Lytechinus pictus: one gene and its partners. The protein of the gene in region 3 binds, or shares a complex with, the protein of the main gene of each other region. Links are inferred from orthologs where the notes say so. Each region holds a gene or a part of one and is shown on either strand. Other genes may lie near its edges. The genes, in order: DNA-directed RNA polymerase III subunit RPC4-like, DNA-directed RNA polymerase III subunit RPC9-like and DNA-directed RNA polymerase III subunit RPC5-like.

Region 1 (7,506 bases), on a different chromosome or scaffold from region 3:
AGTTTTTCTTTTAATATGTTCTATTGAGACATATTTGATATGACTGTAAAGGAAATTTGCCATTTCAACATTTTTTTTCTTATTTTTCATGATTTCATGAATTTCTTATGTATTTCTATTGATTTTAATTTTTTTCATATATTTGCAATTTTTTCTGCTTCAATTATTTTCATTAATCAATATCTTAAGAAACTAAAGAAATGAGAAAAGGTGAATAAATCACTTTTTTTAGCACTCTTGAAATTTATTTTGCCCCATCGACTTTGTACACAAAATTGATTCCCCATTGACATTGTGTACAAATGTCCCGTATGTAACATTTTTGTAACAATTATTTAAAAAGTGAAATATATTTTGTAAACTTTTTGTATTATATCATTTTCGAACTCAGTAAATTAGAACTTCCTACAGACACAACAATACAGGTATTGTATTCTAAGAAATTCAACTAACTTAAAAAAAACGTCCTCAAAATGTTACGTATGAGACTTTCCATCCTTTGACTAGACCTAATTTGCATATAAAAATTAGGTGACACCACTATTTTCCCCAAAAAAGTAATAATATGTTGGGATGGGGAGGGGGTCCATGTCCCATCTATGATTAAATCTCACAAGTTTTGTTTTGATTCTTTATGAGTTTTTATAATTGTACAACCATAAGTAACGCCCATTTTACCAATTATGTAAATTAGGGGCCCCAAATTTGCCTAATGAAAAAATTTTCTTAATAAAATTTAAAAATTCAATATTTGGGCTTCTTTATCCAACCAAACATAACTTCTTGAAATAGAGATGAAATTTAGTCTCCAAAGCCAAAGGTGACCTTTTCTTGGACTTGCCCTTTATAGACGGGTCAATATATGGTTTGACGCGGAACAAATTGCAACAAATGATTTTTCAACTGTTTCTGGCAGTATTTGACCTCAGGAAAAACATACAAAAAATCTACCAAAATCTGCATCCGGGAAAGTGGTTATTTTCAAGATGGCGTCCAAGATGGCCACCATTCACTAAAAATTGATATAACTCACTCATTATCCACCCTAGAATCCTATTTGGGTTCATATTCCAAGGTCCAATGGGTAAACAATTTCATTTATACAAGTTAGAGTGAATATTAGCACTCCAGGGTACCAGGAAACTCCAAGATGGCGCCCAAAATGGCTGCCGTATTCTAAAAACCCCACAATCCATCTATTACTTAAGTGGCTTTAATTTGGGTTCAATTCGATTGTTTTAATGATGAAGTAGTTTATCGGGACAAGTTACAAGGACAGCCAGTGGTCTGGTGTGTCCAAAAATACAAAATGGCTTCCAAAAATTGAGTTTAAAATGGCTGTTCATCCTTAAAATGGGCATAGCTCATATCACATCTACCTGAGAGATATGATTTTTGTGCCTATACCATGGTTAAATGGGTCAAATAATAAATTGGGATAAGTTACAAGGACGATGGGTGGTCAAGTATGTCCAAAAGTCCACGGTGGCTTAAAAAATAGTATCAATTAGCTGCGATGGTATCTAAAAATGGACATAGTTCATGTTATATTCGTCAAGGGCATATGATTTTGTTGCCTATATCATGGTTTCAAAAGGAAGAAAATTAGCTACAAGGAAAGTCAGTGGTCCAGTATTTCGAAAATCTAAGAAAGCTTCCAAAAACCGGAGTCTAAAATGACTGCTGTTAATTTTAGAATGGACATTTAAATCCACCAAGGAGATATGATTTCGATGTCCACTATGGTTTCATGGTTAAAACAATACGTTTGGACTTGTTACATTGATATGCAGTTGTCCAGTTTGCCTAAAACACAAGAGGGTTTTTAAAAAAGGAATCTAAAACGACTCATATTTAATTGTGGTCAGAGTTCTACAATATTCATCTGTGAGAAAAAATGTTGGTGTCCAAATTGTGGTATGAAGGGTCAAATAATACAATCGGACAAGTAACAAGGATGGTTAGTACTCAATTTTGTCAAAGAATCCAGGACGGATTCTAAAATTTCATCAAAATTGGTGCTGTTACCAACTCATGAAACAATAATAACTTGTCCCCATGCATTTAAGTGTAAGAACCAAGATTATTTCTAACAGGTAGATAATTTACCTAACAGTAGTCACTTTAGAACCCCTTTTTTAAGCCAACTTGGATTTGGAGGCAAAATGGATAGCTGCATATCATGATAACCAGTCCCAAAGTATTGTTTGGCGCTTGAAATCCTAGTGTAGACACCAAAATAATATCCCCAAGGTGTATTTATAATGTTCTACATCCACTTTTAAGTAACAGCAGGCATTTAAGACCCCCATTTTAAAGGCCATCTTCGATTTTTGGATATACTTGACACCTGACTGTTTTTTCAACTTAACCCAATGTATTGCTTGACCATGTAAACCCTAGTATAGACAGCAAAATCATACCTCCAAGCCCAAGGTGTATTTATAATAAACTATGCATACTTTTAAGTAGCAACAGTCAATTTACACCCCATTTTTTAAAAGTAATCTTGGATTTTTTAACATACAGACAACTGACTGGTCTTGAAACTTACCCTAGTGTATTACTTGACATTTTTAAACCATGGTTGAACACCAAACTCATATCCCTAGACAGATATTAAACAAACTATATCCTTTTATAAGTAACATCATACATTTTTTTACTCCATTTTTGGAAGCCATCTTGTAATTTTGGACATACTAGACCACTGACTGCCATTGTCTTGTCCTAATATATAATTTGACCTTTGAAACCATAGTTTAGACACCAAAATCATATCTCACAGGCGGATTTAAAATGAGCTATGCCACTTTTAAGTATCAACAGCCATTTTAAAATCAGGTTTTATTTATTATTTATCTATTTATTGGTATATGCACATATATTTACCAGCAGCAGGGCTGAAAGGGTCAATTTACAATAATAATACAAAGTACAAAATAACATAAGTTACAGTAAGTATAATTTTGGCCAAATGATTGAATGGCATTGAAAGCCATATTGGATTTTTGGTCATACCAGACCACTGACTGGCCTTAAAACCTGTCTTATTATTATTTTGGCCCTTAGACCAGTGGTTTAGACACCAAAATCGCATCTCCCAGGCCGATATGAAATAAGCTATGTCCGCTTTAAGTAGCAGCAGTCAATTTAGTATCAATTTTTGGAAGCCAACTTCGATTTTTTGGACATGCCAGACCATTGACTGTCCTTGTAACTTATCCTAATATATTATTTGACCCTTGAAACCAGTGGTTTAGACATCAAAATCACATATCCCAGGCCAAAATGAAATGAGCTTTGTCCGCTTTAAGTATTAGCAGCCATTTCAGAATCAATTTTTGGAATCTATCGGGGATTTTTGCACATACCATACCACTGACTTTCCTTGAAACTTGTCCCAATGTATTATTTGACCCATTTAACCATGGTATAGACACACAAATCATATTTCTGGACATTGAGCAAACTATGTCGGGTTTTTTTAAGTAGCAACAGCAATTTCGACTCCATTTTTGGAAGCCATCTTGGATTTTTGAACACATTGGACCAATGACTGTCCTTGTAAATTGTCCCAATGTCTTATTTGACCATTGAAATCGTGGTCTAGACACCAAAAGCAGTATGTCCCAGGCGGATATGAAATGAACTATGTCCATTTTAATTATCAACAGCCATTTTAAACTCCATTTTTGGAAGCCATCTTGGATTTTTGGACACACCAGACCACTGGCTGTCCTTGTAACTTGTTTCAATGTACTATTTTACCCTTAAACCATTGAATAAAAAACAAATTTAGATGAATTGTGGATTTTCAGCCTACGGCAGCCATTTTGGGTGCCATCTTGGATTTGCCTGGTACACTGGAGGGATTATAATTCATTCTAGCCTAAATCAATTTTTTTTACCCCCAGACCATGGAATATGAACCGAATTAGGATTCTTGGGTGGATAATGTGTCAGTTGTATCCATTTTCAGTGAATGGCGGTCATCTTGGACGCCATCTTGAAAATAACCACTTTCCCGTATGCGGATTTTGGTAGATTTTTAGTATGTTATTCCTGAGGTCAAATAGTACAAAATACCGTTGAAAAATCATTTGTTGCAATTTGTTCCGGGTCAGGCTATTTTTGGTTGTATATTTACCCGTCTATTAATGGATAAGTTAGATCAGGTTTAATGTATAATTTGTATAATTTAGTAATTCAATATTCGTACAGTGTATACAGAGTCTCAAGACTATTAGGAAAGTACTTGTTTTGCTACTGAGTAACATAATTAATGCTGTGGTTTGAATGTATTGAGCTGAGTGGTCAGTTAGTGTGTTCTCATTCAAGTGTGCCTATATTACAAGACTATACAGCTCAGAATGCTGCATTATCCTGGCCAGATATGAGTAGTTGAGGACTTGTGGTGGCGCAATTATTTCCTTCCTTTTTTAAGACTAACATTATCATTTGGATTCTCTTTACTTTTAGCAGAGCACCTTACCATTTTCCAGGATTAAAAGCAGATAGAAGTCATGGCTGAAAAACCATCTCAAGGTCAAGGATCACCTGGTAGTATCCCTCGTGGGCTTATCAATAGACGAGGGAGTGTTATTAAACCCAGTGAAAGATTGCCTTCGCTACGCACTCGTGACCTAACTCTAGGAGGCATACCAAAGGTAATTATAGCCATTTTGATGTTAACACTTGGTATTTACTGCTTTTATCTAGTACATAAAGGTCACTGTATGGTTGGGTCGTTCGTCTATCCATTGCAAATCTTGTAGATCAAATAAAACTACTTCCTCTATTTTCACCTATGTTTATTAGACTTCACATGCAAATTGATCTTTGAGAGATCGAATGGGTCAGAAATTGTTGCTCTGGTGATGATATATTCAATTAGTGATATTTCTAGTTGTCCTAGTGACAAATTAATTTCTAATCTATCTTTTGCTTTCTCAATGGTGTGCTACCAAAAATTGAATTTTGTATATTTAAATGATCCAAGAGGAGAGGGATAATTGAGCAGTGAAATAATGTTTTATGTGTAGCAGTCTATAGAATAAAGAAAACTACATGTTGAATATTAGAAAGAAGTTCTATAAAATTTGAATGTAGTCCTGATAAGATTGTAAGTTTATATGTTTTGTTGTTTTCTTTGTCTGCAGAAATCTTTTAAGCCCAATATACCAGTAAGAAGAGAAAAAAACAAAGATGAGTAAGTATTATTCTTTTTTTTTTCTTTGTATATCAGACTTGTCAGTGTCAGCATTCCAGAAAAACATAAAACATGATTACCAGTACTAAACCATGAAAAGAATGAATTATACATTGCTATCAGAAAAGGCTGATCTTTGTAGATGCTTAATCAGTGGCGTACTGTGGGTCACGTCATTGGGGGGCACCAGCAAAAATTTTGAGTCACTTATACCGTGTTTACAAGTGCATCGGCTTTTGGTTTATCTTGCACCGCGTTTGTAACAGCTCACGGTGCAGAATCTGCTCGAGTAGCAAAAACCTGAAATGATCCACGCACCAACAATATACGTCATAATAAAGACAACGCTGGATCCGTGGGCTTCCAAGTACGTCATAATGGTAAAGTAAATGAAATGCACGCCAATTGCTTATGCAGAATTGGCTTTCTATTTACACGTAGAAAAAAAGCCGATTCTGTATAGGCTCGCGGTTCTGAACCTACTACTTTGGTGGTGCAAAATTGCTGATTCTGCACTGAGAGCCGATGCAAGTTAATCGCGTTTACACGCAACAAAAAAGCTGAATCTGCATCGGCTCGCTGTTCTGAATCGCGAGCTGATGCAGCGTGTAAATACAAATTTGGTGAGCATGCAAAGCGTGCTCAATTGCCAGGTATACTGACCTTAAATAGAGAGATTTTAAGGACTGTGCCATTAAGCGGATATATGTATCTCACTGATCAAATAATGCGAGCGCGAAGCACGAGCTAAAATTTTTTTATATTCAGACCTAAAAAAGGACATTATAAGCAAATTTTTGTGTAATAATAATACGTACCTGTCTCGCTAAACAAACAATGCGAGCGAGAAGCTTGAGCTGAAATTTTTGTATTTATTGACCCCAAACAGGGACAGTTTAAGGACTATTTTTTAAGAAGTTTAGGATATACATATCTCACCATAGTCATCTAATGCGAGTGCCAAGCGCCTTCTGATTTTGTTAGAATTACATCTAAACACATAGTCATTGTAATCGTGATTAACATACGCATCTCACTAATCAAATATAGCTAGCGCAAAGCGCGAGCTCAAAATTAAGGAAATTCAGACCTGGAGAGTGGCATTCTAAGGCTTGTTTGTAGAAATTCACTAAGACCATACTAACCAAATGATGCGAGCGCGAACCGCAATCTGAAAAACTTTGATATTTAGATCAGAAAAAAGAGATATTTTAAGCCCCCATTCCACAGAGAACAAGACCGCTGAAAGACCTATGTACCACCATGAATTCTGGTTGATCTTTCAGAGGTCTCTCAATGAACCTACAATGGTCTTTGAGGTCTTACACGAGTCCTGACCAATCTTTCAGTGGTCTTCGTGGTGTTCATGGGCTCCAAAACTTTTTGAAATGGTTCAAAACAGTCTTAAAACGGTCTTACAGGAAAATGGCATTTCAGTGGTCTTTCAGCAGTCTTCCAGCAGTCTTTCGATGAACTTTCAAAGGTCTTAATAGTCTTTCAATGATCTTTCGGCAGTCTCTCAAGATTTTTGCGGAGATCACTGTAAGATTCATGAGAGATCATTAAAAGATCATTGAAAGACCAGGCAAAGTCCATTGAAAAAATTCAGAAAGATCACTTGTTGCATAAAAGATCTCTGAAAGACCATTGAAAGATCTCTATGGGACTAGTCTAAGACCAGTAAGACAAGAAATATCCATGAGTCTTTCAGAGTTCTTTGAGGGGTCTTTCTTAGCCATTCCACAGAGAAGACAAATTTCAGTGATCTTGAAGACCGCTGGAAGACCTCACCAATTTCAAGTTTTTCAGTGGTCTTTCAATGGTCTCCGTTCTGTGGAATGTGGGCCTTAACAACTGATTTTAGGAATTCATGAAGAGCAGACATATCTCACCAATCCACTAATGCGAACGTAAGCACGGACAGGGAATGTTTTATATGCAGACCTTAAAATGTGGCAATCAATTTAAGTAGTCATGAAAAAGAAGGATATGTCACTATATAAAACAATTAAATAATAACTCGAAGTGCGAGGAAATATATTTGGTGTATATTGACTTGAAAAAAATATGTTTTAGAATTATATATCTCGTTAAACAGACAATGCGAGACCAGGAACGATGAACACAATAGGCCCTGAGCAAAGTATGTTTCATAAAGTTATGAAAAAAAATATTTCTTATGATGTACGGTAATAACATAATATATACAGTATAATAATAATATAACATTATAATGTACAATATTTTCTTCATTCCCATTACGTTTCTCTTCCCTATTCTCTTCTTTTTTCTCC
Region 2 (7,411 bases), on a different chromosome or scaffold from region 3:
AACTGAAAATACTATTGAATTTCAAATGTTCATTAGCCATTACTTAGAATAAGTAAAAATTGATGTTTTCGATTTGTCCATCAGCACCTAGCACAGTAGATGCATGTGTGAACAATTTGTTAGAGTTAAGCCAACTGTTTCAAATCGAGTTTGGATCAGATCATTCAGATGTGTACAACACAGCGAAAAGCTGAGCCTGAGGTGACTCGGCTCTGCCTATTTCATTCATTTTTCAACAAATATAAAAATCTTTAAAGTATTTAAACTACCACTTCAGGGTGCTACATAACTTTTTAGAAGCACTTTCCCAGTCGGGCAAGTAAATTTTTAAATAGTTGGAATATACTTGCCCAAAAATGTATTTCACTTGCCCCAAAAAATCCTTGAAAAAAAGTTTTACCTCTTCAAATGAAAGCATTGTGGATTTATAAACCATTGAACTTCTAACTGATGTAGACCTTTCCAAAGTGATTTTATCTTACCTGCTACATGTGACCAAAATTAGGGTCGATATCATATAAAAAATGTGGACCCTAATTTTCCACTGTGAGAAATTGGCTTTCCCAGTTTGGGCAAGTAGTTTTGGTCTTAACTTCAAAACACTTGCCCGACTCTAACTTTTACTTGCCCCGGGCAATAGGGCAAGTACAGATTTTTGCTGACACTGTTTGTAAGTGTTTAGAACTTAGTTTAGTGACTGATCTCTTGATTTTATAGCCTAACTTACGATGAAAGTATGGTATTGTATTTGTAGGGGCTAGTGACAATGACCTGCACAACTAGTATTAAATTATTACTAGTACTACATGTATATTGCCTTTATTCATTGGCAATACAAGTAAATTCTAATATTTAGGATTAGAGGGTTTATATTAGTATTAGAACTAGAAGTCAGACCTACCAACACTCTTAAAACATTTTCCAATAGGATACAGACGACCCCAAACAACCACCTTCTCCTCCACAAAATCAAAATCTCCTTCAGCAACCTCCTGCGTTGGAATAGTCTCCATACTCGACAAAGTTCCCCCGGATGACAGACTTGCACTCGCACTGCTCGATGTGGTGTTGGGCTCTACGGAACTCGAGCTCGAGCCGTTCAAGCTCATGTCGCACACACATGCAGTAGTAAACACGGGAACGCCGGGCCGAGTGCGCTACGTAAGTGCTCAGCGGAAACTCGAGGCTAACCTCCGCCACTCTGACCCGGCAGATGTACCGTGACGTAGGTATCCAATCCGGCGGCACGAAATACTGCGGCGCGAGATTCAGGAACACTGCCACTGGACTATTTCCTTGTTGAGTCCATCTTTGAATTAGCTCATTGGGTAAGAAGATGACATCAACAATCCAATAGTTTCTGCAAATTCAATGAACTTCAAAACAACTTCTTTCGTTTGATTTTGAATTCTGCAAGCAAAATCCAAGTAATTGTCAGTTCTTTGGGGTAAAAATCCAAAACACACCGTATCGCAGGCCTAGTTCTAATCAGCTGACAAACCACGTGGCGATCGCGCGTTTGCGGTCAACGACCTTAGGGTATATGTATCCGGATGATATGCGGATCCAGGATTTCGATCAGCTAGGGGATTCCCAATTATTGATCATGATCATTGACCCCGGGGGCCTCATTGACAGGCGGTACGTCCAGAGAAAAGATAAAAGTCATGGCATTTCCCAGAATATCGATTCGATTTTGTCATATCTCTGAGCAGACGCAGATCCAGGGGCACGTGCCCCCTATGCCCACCCCCCCCCCCTTTTTGAGAAGCAAAATTAGAATTTGTAATGTAAAAATGCCCCCTCTTTTGAAATAGAAGACCTTTTTTTTTTTTTTGCTTGTCAAAATTTTTCGGGTTCTAAACATCCTTAATTTGTGGTTGAAAACCTTTATTTTTTTTTTGGGGGGGGGGGGCTTGTCAAAATTTTCCTTCGAAAAATTTGCCCCCCCCCCTTTGGAAAATCCTGGATCCGCCCCTGTCTCTGGATGTTAGAAAAATAAAGGAGCTAAGACAGTGTTCAGAAATATACTGCTTCCCTAAGATTTCAGAAAGGTGGCCCAGGGGCAAGAGAGTTTACGAACTTCGGGGCGCGGCTGCGGGAGACGTTTCCACCCACATTTTTGGTCTGACAACTTTATTTCATTCTGATTGGCGGAGAAGCACATGCAGTTCCTTTCTGTAGGAAAGCATAGGCCTACTTTGTCGTATTCCGATGGTCATTTCATAAACGACAACCCCCCCCCCCCCCCCCCCTCTGCTGTAGCTTTCACCTACAACAAAGACATTGGGAAACATTTTGTATATACAAAAATATATTTAACCTCTGCCTTTTCCTTTTTAATAATATTTTTGTACATTTTTTAACCTCTACGGCCCTGCAATTTTTATCTCTGCCCCAGTCCCCCCCCCCCGTGTTCCCTCTGCTGTACGGATCCACATGCATGCGTCATGAAACCTAACACTAAAACCATGAAGGATATGGAAAAACATGTATAATAAGGCCTTCATGGTAGCCTACACTTATATGCCTATATGTAAAGGTCTATGAGTGTAGGTTCTCAGGGACTTTTTTTTAGAAGGGGCGTTGGGGTGTTGGGGGTCAATGGCATATGAGCCAAACAAATTTGAGGGTCCATAAATGGCATGTGGAGCAAAATAAATTTCTAAAAAAGCAGCAAGTGAGCAAAATTTTAGAACTTTTTTACACAAATATCTAATTTTGTGATGGATTTCGACATAATGCTAAAAAATATTATTATATTCCACCCCCTTTCCTTTTTTTTTTCTTGGCTGTGAAACTTGTGGGGGAGGTTCCATGGTCCCTTAAGCCCCCCCTCCTTACATCAGTTGGGTAGGGTAGTCCTTGAGACTGAAGTCTTATAAGTACAAGCTATATCTTTATTTTCACAAGAAGAATAGGTAATTCATAAGAACTATTTAATCAGTAATACGAGCGTGAAGCACGAGATGAAATTTTTAATAATAATAATATTAGGCATTTATATACGCCATCAATCTAGAAATAATCTATTCCGAGCCGCATTGTTTAATATTATTATTACCCCCACTTTATTTTAGCTCGAGCTGCCTTTCAGCGCTAATTGCATTCAAGAAATTAATCCTATATACCGGATACCCATTCACCTCACCTGGGTTGAGTGCAGCACAATGGGGAAAATTGTTTTGGAAAAATAGAAAACTAAACAAATTTTGATGGAAAATAAGAAAGAAAAACTGATGGTTATCATGCATTTTCATATCACTACCATCATGGGCGGAAATCCCAGAGGAGACAGGGGAAGCCCCCACCCCCCCCCCCCACTTTATGATATGTTTTATGCCGGAAAAATACTTCATTCAAAAACGAAATAATACATGTATCCTTGAATCTTTAATATAATATCATTTTCTGAATATTATGTCAAAATCTATAACAAAATTAGATTTTTGTTATAAAACTATTGAAATTTTTGCTCGCTCGCCTAGCTCTCTTGCAACTTTTATAAATTTTACCCAATATGTGCCATATCTAGCCCCCAAAAAGCACTCCTCTTGAAAAAAAACATATTATGATCATCGATCATCTTCAACTTCCTCCTTATCATCATAATCATACTTGCCATATAATCAGTATGATATTATTCTGTAAATTATCGCGGGATAATACAGACCACCCCTTTTATTATATACATATTTTTATTTGATAGCATTTATTCCATTCATCATAAAAACCAGAACAAAACAAGGTACATGCAAAGTTAACATATATTACAATTTATGTCAATGAAATAATTCAATGATACAAATCTGGAAAACATTTGAAAAAAAGAGTATATATAAATGAATGGGGAGGCAACTAGAAAGGCAAAGCCTTATTAGTGCTGCCACCTTTACAAAACTGGAAACTGAATATGTAATGTAATAAAAATGTTAATACTGAATACCAGATATAAACATTGAGCATAAAAAGGGGGAAATACAAATTTTGACACAATGACAAAATATATAGACATAGATGTATATCAACAATAATTACTATAAAAACGAAAGAAGAAAAAACACCTGAATATACGTTATTAGAATATTTGCTTAGAAGTTGGGTTTTATATCTCCTTTTAAAAACATTAAATGATGGACTAGGTTTAACAGAAAATTGTAATTATTCCAGATAATTGGTTCTTTGCTAAAGAAGTGCTTTTTTTAGTTAGGTGGAAGTCTGAAGATCCTTGCGTATTATAATAATGAACATCTATGACCCAGTAGCCACTGATCTGTATCTAGTCTATATAGTGTAAAGATTAGTGGATCAAACTGGAATTCTATGTAAAACTGAGGCAAATTTTCATGTCGGTCATAACTGAAAGATACCATACCGAAAACTTGAATAACAATGCACAAAAGAAAATGATTGGGACTACATAACAAGCTCGCTGTAGCCTTCCGAAGACGCGACCGAAAGACCGAAGAAGACAATGGAAGTGTAAGTATTTGTTAGGGAATATGATAACAAACATCTCATTTTGTTATGCTGTATGCACGAAAGGTGATTTTTATTCTACTTATTTAGTCAAATTTATTTGGCGTGTTTGGAAAAGCAGAGTCGGACGTCGGTGACGTGCATGTGTGACTGTGGCCATGGTGCCGTGGTTGTGTCTGTGAGTGAGTGTGAGTGAGTGAGTCTCACTTGCACTTGTCTTACCCCTTTCATAAACCCAATCATGCGGCTAATAGCAGCATAATTTGGTTGTAAAATCGGAGGAGGACCAGAGTTATCCGCTTCATTTTGATGCTGCAATTATCCGCATAATAGCGGCATCGGGACCAGATTTTGACTTTATGAACGCATGTCCAAAGTACAATTACATGACATACCGTTGGCGTTATAGATTATACGGATAATTGCCATGCCCATGGCATGATGGTGCGGTCACAACTCACAAGGTCACCCTTTTCCAACACAACTGCATCGGAGGGGGTGTGTGCGGTTGCCATGACGATTATCCCCCTTTTTCAGGACGGGCGCTCGTAAAAATAGTGCGGATTATTTTCGGAGTTTGTGAACGCAATTTTTATTGAATTATCCGCATTACTCTTAGCCTTAGGCTTAGGCGGCTAATTAGAGGATGGGTTTATGAATATGAAAGGGGTATCAGACTCAGATCAGTGAGTCTGACTGATGTGACGTTAACCCGGTCCCGGGGAGCTACGGCCCGCTTCACGGGCCGGAGCCCTGGGGGCCGTTTCATCAAGCTGTTCGGAAGTTAAGAGCGACTTTAAGAATGACTGGTGAACCTTTCTTACGCGCTTAACCATCACCAATGAATATACCATTTTCCACAAGAAAGGATCACCAGTCGTTCTTTTAAAGTCGCTCTTATTGTCTTAACTTAACTTATGAACAGCTTTATGGAACACAGTGACACACCCGGACTCGTCCATGTAATTAGCCAGGAGGCTCTAAGTCCTAGAGGAGTAGAGAGCTAAAATCATTTACTAACGTATGCTTACTCTCCAAGGAGCCAGGGATTCCATCCCATTCATCTGCGTGTACCGCCAAAAAACCTGAAACTTTCGCCCCCGAGATTTCTACTTTCCTTCCAAGCATGGGTACTCTCCAAAATAGGGTAGAATTAGCCTGGAGGCTTCTGGAGAGTAAAAGTCATCTACTATACGTAGGCTTACTCTCCATGAAGCCTTGGTCGGGATACCATTGCTCTACACATACCGTAGGTGTTCCCACGGTGAAATTAGACCTAAATCACACATTTTATTAGGGTTTTGAGCCCAAACTAACGTAAATGGGCCAAAACAATATTTACCCCTGAATATGATAACGTTGCGTCTATTTATTCAGTAAATAGTAGTAAATTAGAGAAATTATTAAGAGTACGAGCGTTTACTTACCCAGTCTGTTATTTTCGCCGTCTTTGTTATCGATACCTAGATACAAGACGCGTGTATAGAGGGCGACAATATCATGAGCAGTGCCAATTTAGATTTTAAAAAAATACTTGCATCGGCCGATAAATATCATGAATCGTTAAATACTTGCATTGGCCGATAAATATCATAAATCTTTTATGATATTTATCGGCCGATGCAAGTAAAAATAAAAATATATGTACATGTAGAATGAAGTTTTTGCTTCCTTGTATTTTAAAATGAAGGGTTCATTTTTCTTTTATTTACAGGATCAAAGAAAGTGCTGCTATGTTGAGCAACTTTGAGGTGAGTAATTTTAAGTTACCCTCAAGCTATGGTGTTGACTTTTGGTTTTGATAGCATAGTAAGAATGCTGTCACCAGTTGTGGTGGGGTGTAAAAATAAATCGGTCTGTATAAAGTAATATTTACACTGAAAATTGAGAAATACATGCTCAAACACACATTTTGAAAGAAGAATGATTATGTACTATGATTATTTTGATTAGAGTCACCAGAGAATTACATGGAAAAGGCACCTTTTTTATGCCAGAATATTTAGTCATGAAAGAGTGTATAAAATAAAGTGTCTGATGCTATATCAAATGCACAGATAAAATTGTTTTCAATTTTCTGACAAATTAGAATAATTTAGATTTTATTACTGTTGCTGGGGAGCTACTTGCATGTGATGTCACAAAATTAAACTTTAACCGATCTGTATTCTTATTCCTGAATGGATTTTTCCAAACCTTCATTAATACATTTCCCTAATTTTCTGCTTCTATCCAAATCAAATTGATATCAGGGTTAACTTTCCTTTAAATTTACCATTTCAAAGACAGAATACAGAATGTGATGCCCTTTGACCCCTATGCCTTGAACCAGAGTTTCCAACTATTAAGAAAAGTCATATTTTTTATGATTTTCATGTCAAATTACGCCATTACACTTTTGGCCTTAATTATTACGCTTCTGAGTTATAGTAGGTATGTACACATTTAATACACGCATAATAATACATCGTGCAGTGGTGATATTTACTTACCTGACTAGGCAAGCTAGTGCTTTACAAAAGTTATGTTGCACCCTAGATTAATATTCCTGACAACCGTCCTGTTGGGTTGGAAAAACATTGCATTTATGCACATTGTGCATCTGTTCTATATACCTCTAAGAAATTTATCATACTGTGTGGCACATATGAAATTATGACTTATCTCACAGTTATGTCTTTTGAGCTGCTGGAGTACTACTTGCAGCTCTGTTGAACTTTCCATCTTTCTTTGATCTTTCAGGTCCATGCTCTGCTTAAAGAATTACAATCGGGAAGCTCTCAGAGAGGGAAGAAGAGCATCAGTAAAAAGCAGCAGAACCTTGCCACAATATCCTATGAGGTATGTTATGTAACTATTCTAAAATCAGCCTGTTTGAGACTTATCCCAAGTACATGTAATCTTGGGATGTAGTCTATTGAGAATTTTCATT
Region 3 (7,336 bases):
AATGGAGCCCCGAAATTTTACAAAAAATTGAAAATGGAGCCCCCGAAAAAAAAAAATTATATTTTTTCCGTTTCCTCACACATATTACGACCGATTTCAAAACCTCGCATGCGTACGCGTACTCACGGCCAATTTCAAAACATCGCATGCGATCGGTCGCGCCGATCGCATGCGATGTTTTGAAATCGGCCGTGAGTAATATGTGTGAGGAAATTGATACTGGCCCAAAATCACCAATTTTGAGGATAACCGGAGGATGGACACGGAGTGAAATACGGGTGTAGAGTAAGATATTAAGTTATTTATCTTTCTTGTTATATTGTTTTTCTTTAATTTTTACAATAAACATGATTTCCATCCCACCTTTGTGACACCGAATATCCGATCGAGTTCACCGTCACGAAGTTCGGGTATTTGGAGCGTAGTGTAGCGGAAGTGGAGTGGAGCCTGCACGAACTTCGCCCGAGGTAAACCTAATAATGATATTCCAATATAGGCCCACTCCCTAATTATCGATCTCAAATGGATTTTTCTTAACACTTGACAATGACCCAAAAGACAGTATACAATTTAATTACATTGGTTAGATATATACAGATAGATGACAAGCTCTCTCGAAGGTTCATCGTATCCATGAAAAAGTTAGTATATAAGCGTTGGTAGGGGATATTGGGGTTTATTTGAGAATATTTTTGACAAAAATGGCTGTAAAATCCAAATAGATTTGAGAAACAATATGTCAGCTTAAAGCATATATCTAAGGGCTTCAAACGTACCCCATGAAACTTTAAAACTCTATGATGGTTACTGAAAAACAATCCACCTTGAACAAGACCATCGCAAGCTTTCCAACTTACCCCATATACGGGGTAAGTTGGAACGAGGTATGGGGTAAGTTGGAACACTGCATGGTCAATTAAAAATTATACTTAAACTACTTACAACTGTGATATTTTAGTTTTAGCCTATTTGCTTTATTTTTTCAAGTTCAAAATATTAAAGGTGTATTCTGATATGTTGAACTTTATATTTTCTATATTATACAGCCACTCATGCAAGCCGACTGTGTAGTAGAATTCTGCATATTTATGAGTGTTTGATTTTACATGCAATTAAGTGTATCATCAATTTAATGTACTTCTGCATCAAATTTACATGACAAAGATAAATTGTTTATATTTTTTAATTAATTAATTATGCAAATAAACATGAAATTTGCCCTTTAAAAAAAAAAAATTTTGGTGTATGTTTTTGCCTTTAACTTAATCTATTTAGCTAGTAGAATGCTAATTTTTGGTGAGAGCATCAATTTTTACATTTGTAACAAATACCTACGAAAAAATTGCAAAAAGTATAATTTCTTATGTATTTTTTGTTTTTTATACGCCCATCCTGACGGGACGTATCACGCTCGGTGTCTGTTCGTCCATCCGTTAACTTTTCCTTGTAAACACGATAACTTCAGTTTAACTTACCCTAGGCTCATATAATTTGGTATATGTATGATACCAGCATGGATCCCAGGAAGCCTTTTTACTTTTGGGGTCAAAAGGTCAAGGTTACAGTGACATATTTTCATCTTACCCTTCTGCAGTCCTTGTAAATGCGATAACTTCAGTTTAACTTAATCTTGGCTCCTATAATTTGGTGTGTATGATACTAGCATGGATCCCAGGAAGCCTATTGATTTTAAGGTCAAATGGTCAAAGGTCAAAATCACACTGACATGTTTTCATCTTGCCCTTCTGCAGTCCTTGTAAATGCGATAACTTTAGTTTAACTTAATCTAGGCTCCTATAATTTGGTGTGTATGATACTAGCATGGATCCCAGGAGCCTATTGATTTGGAGGTCAAAGGTCAAGATCACATTGACATGTTTTCATCTTACCCTTCTGAAGTCCTTGTAAACGCGATAACTTTAGTTTAACTTAATCTAGGCTCCTATAATTTGGTGTGTATGATACTAGCATAGATCCCAGGAAGCCTATTGATTTTGAGGTCAAGTGGTCAAAGGTCAAGGTCACATTGACATGTTTTCATCTTACCCTTCTGAAATCCTTGTAAACGCGATAACTTTAGTTTAACTTAATCTAGGCTCATATAATTTGGTGTGTATGATACTAGCATGGATCCCAGGAAGCCTATCGATTTTGAGGTCAGAGGTAAAGTTGCCACCTTCCACTTTTCTTGCTTGACCATTAACTCCATTTTTCTGCATTACAGGCGGGCGTATAATGTGCTTGCCTTAGCGACACTCTTGTCTTTGTATTTCTTTGTTTTTTCGAACCTTTTTTTATATTCTTTTTCCTTTTTTTCTGATGAACTTTGTTGGGGACCCTTTTGCATATTAATAAATCCATTTGAGCGAGCAAATTTTAAAATAATCATATATTCATGATTTTCGTTCGAAAAACACAATTTGCATTGACCTTGTACATTCGAGCAATTTTGGGTCCGACATGCACGTACAAAATGTTGCATGATTTTGAAATCACTCACCCGGGCATCGCAAATTTGGTCTCAAATGATGCACAAGACTTGAAAGTAAAAAGTCAGTGAGCGGTGCAGTTAGAAAATTTCGCGCGACGGTGAAGTGACAAATTTATCGAGTGGGGGGACTCAAATTGAGGGTTAAGGGTTAATAAGGGTTAATATTGCATAAGGGGCCCATAGTAGTCCTTAAATGCACACTCAAAACAAGCATGGTTTACAATACATATTCAAAAGAGTGTGAAATATTGTATACATTATTTTCTCAAATCCAGTGTTTTATTCATTTATGTTTGGGGTAACTTGGAACATGTTATAAATAGCCCCTTCAATTTTGTTTCAACTAGCCCCAGAGGCCCATGCAGGTTGCTACATAACTTTTTAAAAGTACTTGCCCAGTCGGGCAAGTAAATTTATGAATAGTTGGAATATACTTGCCCAAAAATCTATTTCACTCGCCTGAAAAAATCTTTGAAATTTTGTGTTTTTTTTCTCCAAAAGAAAGTTTTGAGGTTTTATAAACCATTGACCTTTTTTCTCTGTTTTGACATGAACTGATCTACTTTCTTATTGCATTTCTTTTTCCAAAGTGATTTTATCTTGCCTGCCATGACCAAAATCATATAGACCCTAATTTTGGTCATTCTACTGTAAGCATTTTGCTTGCCCAATTTGGGCAAGTAGTCTTGGTCTTTACTTAAAAAACTTGCCTGACTCTAACTTTTACTTGCCCCGGGCAATTGGGCAAGTGCTTATGTAGCACCCTGGGCCTATGTAGCATTTGTAAGCTTACAGCACAAAAAAGGAACTTCACCATGGCATATTAATAACCTTATTTTGTAGCTTGGTGCAAGTGTCTATTATACCCCCAAACTGGCCAACTTGATCTATAAACTTCTCTGAGATAATAAAACATTTCTGACAGAGAAAAAAAATACTCAGTTGAAAAAACGAAAATTCCTTTCTAACTTTACCAGGCTTATTGTACAGTGTTGTCTGTAATATGGTGGATGGCTGTTGATAATGGCAATAAATTGAGGGCAGTATTGCATAAATTAACCCCAATCTCCCCTATGTTATGTTCCTCTGCTTCCAACCCTTTTACTTAATATAATGTGACTATATACCCATAGGCAGATCCGAGCCCCCCCATTGGCGGAGCAAAAAGAAAAGGGGGAAAGAAAAAAAAGGAAAAACAGAAGAGAATAAAAAATAGGAAAACAAGAAGAGGAAGACGGGTGAATTAAATAAGAAGTGGCAATGACTTAAAAAAATGAAAGTCACTATTCACAGCCAATCTGGAGTTCTTTTAAGTCCTTGGAATTTAGAGTGTAAGAATTAAGAAAGGAAGGAAGAAAGAAAGAAAATATTGCATCTTTTATTAATCGCGAAATCAGGCAAGACTCGTCGCCAGAGCAAGTGTCATGGAACCTATACTTTAGACAAGACAGCTTCAAACTGATGGGACATTTTTATCTAACTCTGTATCTAACCTCCAACATTGGATGAGTGGTCTGTGACTGGAACTTACTTTCAACTAAAGCTATCAAATCTTAAAGAGTTTTGGGGAACATTGATGTACTGAATTACCGATTTTCAGATAAATTTAGTGAAAAACTAAACAATTGTAAATTGGTTATTGGAAAGAGCATTAGTTTCTATTGAAAAGAAAACAAAGAAATGGTAGTTGGAGAAAATGCTAGAAAAAATGAGAATTAACAACTACATGTAAGGTGCCCTATGGATACTGACATTGCTAAAGATGAAAAATACATGAAACACACTTTCATTTTATTCTGTATTATTTTTGTTTTTCTCATTTCAGGTCGATGTTTACCTCTCAAAGGAGTTGGCTGAAAATTTGTATTGTTTTCAGGTGAGAAATGGTTTTATGAAAAATCAAGCTGCTGATAAATATGTCTAAACGAAACAACATCATTCTTCCTAAATTCCCATATTTCATGTTGACATTTTTATTCATATTGATTTTATTTTTGTCTCACCTGCATAGCAGATCAAGACTCATTGCTTTTAGCATCAACAATTCTTTATTTCTTCATCAATCTTGATTATTATACTTGGCTCAAATAATCCTAGGGTAATTCCATGTGTGCATGTCCTTGAGGATGATGGGGTCAAGGGTCATCTAGGGGTCAAAAGGTCAATTTGTCCAACTTGCTCTTCATTTCTTCATCAATTATGTTCACACTTGGTACACATACAATTGTTGTGTAATACCACATGTGTGTCCTTAAGGATGACTGGTCAAGGGTCATCGAGGGGTCAAAAGATCATAGTGCATATTTTATTGATTGTGAAATCAAGTGAGACTTGTGATTCATGAGCCACCTTGTATGATCAGCATTGAATACATGTATGTTCCTTCTTATTAAAAAAAAAAGAATTGTAAACCCAATTAAGGGATTTGCATTACATGTATTAATGGGAGAGCTTGTGATTTATTCAAATCCTTTCATTGTGTGCAACAAAGCAGAGCGAGACGACTATGCTAAATGACACATGCACGACGGACCCCTCCCCCCCCCCCCCCCCCATAAACCTTGAGGGTACTTCAACCCCCAGCATCAGGATCGTCAATCACTGAAGGTTAAGTTTTTGAAATGTCATCATTCATAAATAAAAAAAAGTATATGGGCCTAGTTCATGAAACTTGGATATATTGGTTATCAAGTATTACTCAACATCCTGCCAGAGTTTGATGTCACATGACCAAGGTCAAAGGTCATATAGGGTCAATGAACTTGGACCATGTTGGGGGAATCAATATCAAAATCTTAACCGAAGGTTATGCGCCTAGTTCATGATACTTGGACATAAGAGTAATCAAGTATTACTGAACACCATGCCAAAGATTCAGGTCAAATGACCAAGGTCAAAGTTCATTTAGGATCAGTGAACTTTGGCCATGTTGGGGGTATTTGTTGATATTCATCATAACTTTGAAAGTTTATGGATCTGTGCTCAAATATCTTCGATTAAAATCGATTTTAAAGCATTGTTAGTACAGTGGCAGATACAAATTTTGACCAGTGCGAGCATTTTGACATCGATACAAATTGCGTATTGATTTTCTATGTAAACGGAATTGTCACAGTTTCATGTACATGTACACAAAGTCTATGGGGAAACGGAATTTCTGTTTTCAGACATGCTGAAATGGAATATAAGATTTTCTGAAACGATAACTCACTGTCCCTTTTTTATTATCATACGAATGTTTCTTTTGTGAATAATTATTCAATAGCTGTTTTCAAAGTCAGCACTGCTGCTATATCAAATCGCGTAATGCAGGCGAGACTGCCAGAGGCACTCCACTTGTTTTCATTAGACAGATGGGGGAGAGTGCAAGATGGCATCTGAACATGCCTACTGAGGTTTAAATAAATTGAGTTAACATAACATCCCCTTATACTTTGTTCAATTTCTTTTATACATTCACCCTCTCATTTCTCTTTTGCTGTTTTCTTACAATGATTTTGTTATATATTGCATTTTCCTATTTCTATGACTGTAGCATTTTACGTTGGTCTTTTTTTATCTTTGCATTCAGTATCCAGTTCGTCCCAATCACATGTCCTATGATGACTTTGAATACACATCAGCTCGGATCAAACCTAAACAGAAAAAGGTACACATCAATTAACAAAGGTTTGAATGGCATATTACAGCATGGATCCATTTAATAGCATCTTTTCTTATTTTAACAAAGTCAAAGCCACTGTGAAAGTCTGTTCGTGGGATTCCTCCTAAAACATGTCACATCTCTCTTTTGTGAAGCACTGTGATATAAATCTAATTTTGTTTCAAAGGTTTTCCTTCTAGTGTAGTTTACTGTGCTTTGTTTTTGAGCAGATACCCATCCCCATTAACATCAAGATTTTTAGCCAGCCAAAAGCTTGTCCATGACATCGAATTTAGGCTGGCCAAAACTTTTCTCCTATATTTTCTCCTTGCCTGCAAGTTGATTATTAACATTGTTGAATTACATATCCACTTTATGCACAGTATGTCTGACAAAAATCAGTTACTATTCATGAGAACAATAGAAAATATATCTGTAGTATCTAGATCCAGTATTGGGACATTTTACTTCATTGGGCCATTCTCCTTTGTAGCATGTATAAACCCCATCTCTTGCCTTTTTGCCCTTAAAGGTCAAGTCCACCCCAGAAAAATGTTGATTTGAATAAATAGAGAAAAATCAAACTAGCATGATGCTGAAAATTTCATCAAAATCCATTGTAAAATAAGAAAGTTATGAGATTTTAAAGTTTCGCTTATTTTTCACAAAACAGAGATATGCACAACTCAGTGACATGCAAATGAGACGGCTGATGATGTCCCTCACTCACTATTTCTTTTTGTTTTCTATTGTTTGAATTGTACAATATTTCATTTTTTACAGATTCGACAATAAGGACTAACTTGAATGAACCATAGAGTATTAAACAATGCTAATTCCACATGTTCATGGAGGAATTCATCATTGTTTCGCTTGACAATGAGAAGAAAATTAGAATACTTCATATTTCATATAATAAAATACAAAAGAAATTGTGAGTGGATGACGTCATCAGTCTCCTCATTTGCTTACCGACCAGGATGAGCATATAACTGTTTTGTGAAATTAAGCGAAACTTTAAAATTGTCATAACTTTCTTATTTACATCCGATTTTGATGAAATTTTCAGTGTTATGCTTGTTTGATTTTCTTATTTTATTCAAATCAACTTTTAGTTGGGGTGGACTTGTCCTTTAATGTATTTTTTTAATGGAAAGTAGTTTGTTCTGGCATGTGCACCTAAAGTCTACCTGTTTCTGTTA

Evidence for each region.
Region 1: DNA-directed RNA polymerase III subunit RPC5-like (region 3) and DNA-directed RNA polymerase III subunit RPC4-like share a complex: the UniProt entries of both Homo sapiens proteins name them as parts of the RNA polymerase III complex. The link is inferred for Lytechinus pictus from reciprocal best matches to the Homo sapiens genes POLR3E and POLR3D.
Region 2: DNA-directed RNA polymerase III subunit RPC5-like (region 3) and DNA-directed RNA polymerase III subunit RPC9-like share a complex: the UniProt entries of both Homo sapiens proteins name them as parts of the RNA polymerase III complex. The link is inferred for Lytechinus pictus from reciprocal best matches to the Homo sapiens genes POLR3E and CRCP.

Annotation. Positions count from the first base shown.
Region 1 is NC_087247.1:56,498,618-56,506,123, reverse strand, and holds the start of DNA-directed RNA polymerase III subunit RPC4-like, read left to right. Parts: upstream 1-4,480; 5' UTR 4,481-4,526; coding exon 4,527-4,670; intron 4,671-5,162; coding exon 5,163-5,212; intron 5,213-7,506. UniProt on the Homo sapiens protein: DNA-dependent RNA polymerase catalyzes the transcription of DNA into RNA using the four ribonucleoside triphosphates as substrates.
Region 2 is NC_087246.1:31,251,208-31,258,618, forward strand, and holds the start of DNA-directed RNA polymerase III subunit RPC9-like, read left to right. Parts: upstream 1-4,376; 5' UTR 4,377-4,474; coding exon 4,475-4,482; intron 4,483-6,193; coding exon 6,194-6,230; intron 6,231-7,221; coding exon 7,222-7,320; intron 7,321-7,411. Other genes in the region: serine/threonine-protein kinase Chk2-like, read right to left, coding at 902-1,109. UniProt on the Homo sapiens protein: DNA-dependent RNA polymerase catalyzes the transcription of DNA into RNA using the four ribonucleoside triphosphates as substrates.
Region 3 is NC_087254.1:1,610,315-1,617,650, forward strand, and holds the start of DNA-directed RNA polymerase III subunit RPC5-like, read left to right. Parts: upstream 1-4,320; 5' UTR 4,321-4,367; intron 4,368-6,062; 5' UTR 6,063-6,083; coding exon 6,084-6,140; intron 6,141-7,336. UniProt on the Homo sapiens protein: DNA-dependent RNA polymerase catalyzes the transcription of DNA into RNA using the four ribonucleoside triphosphates as substrates.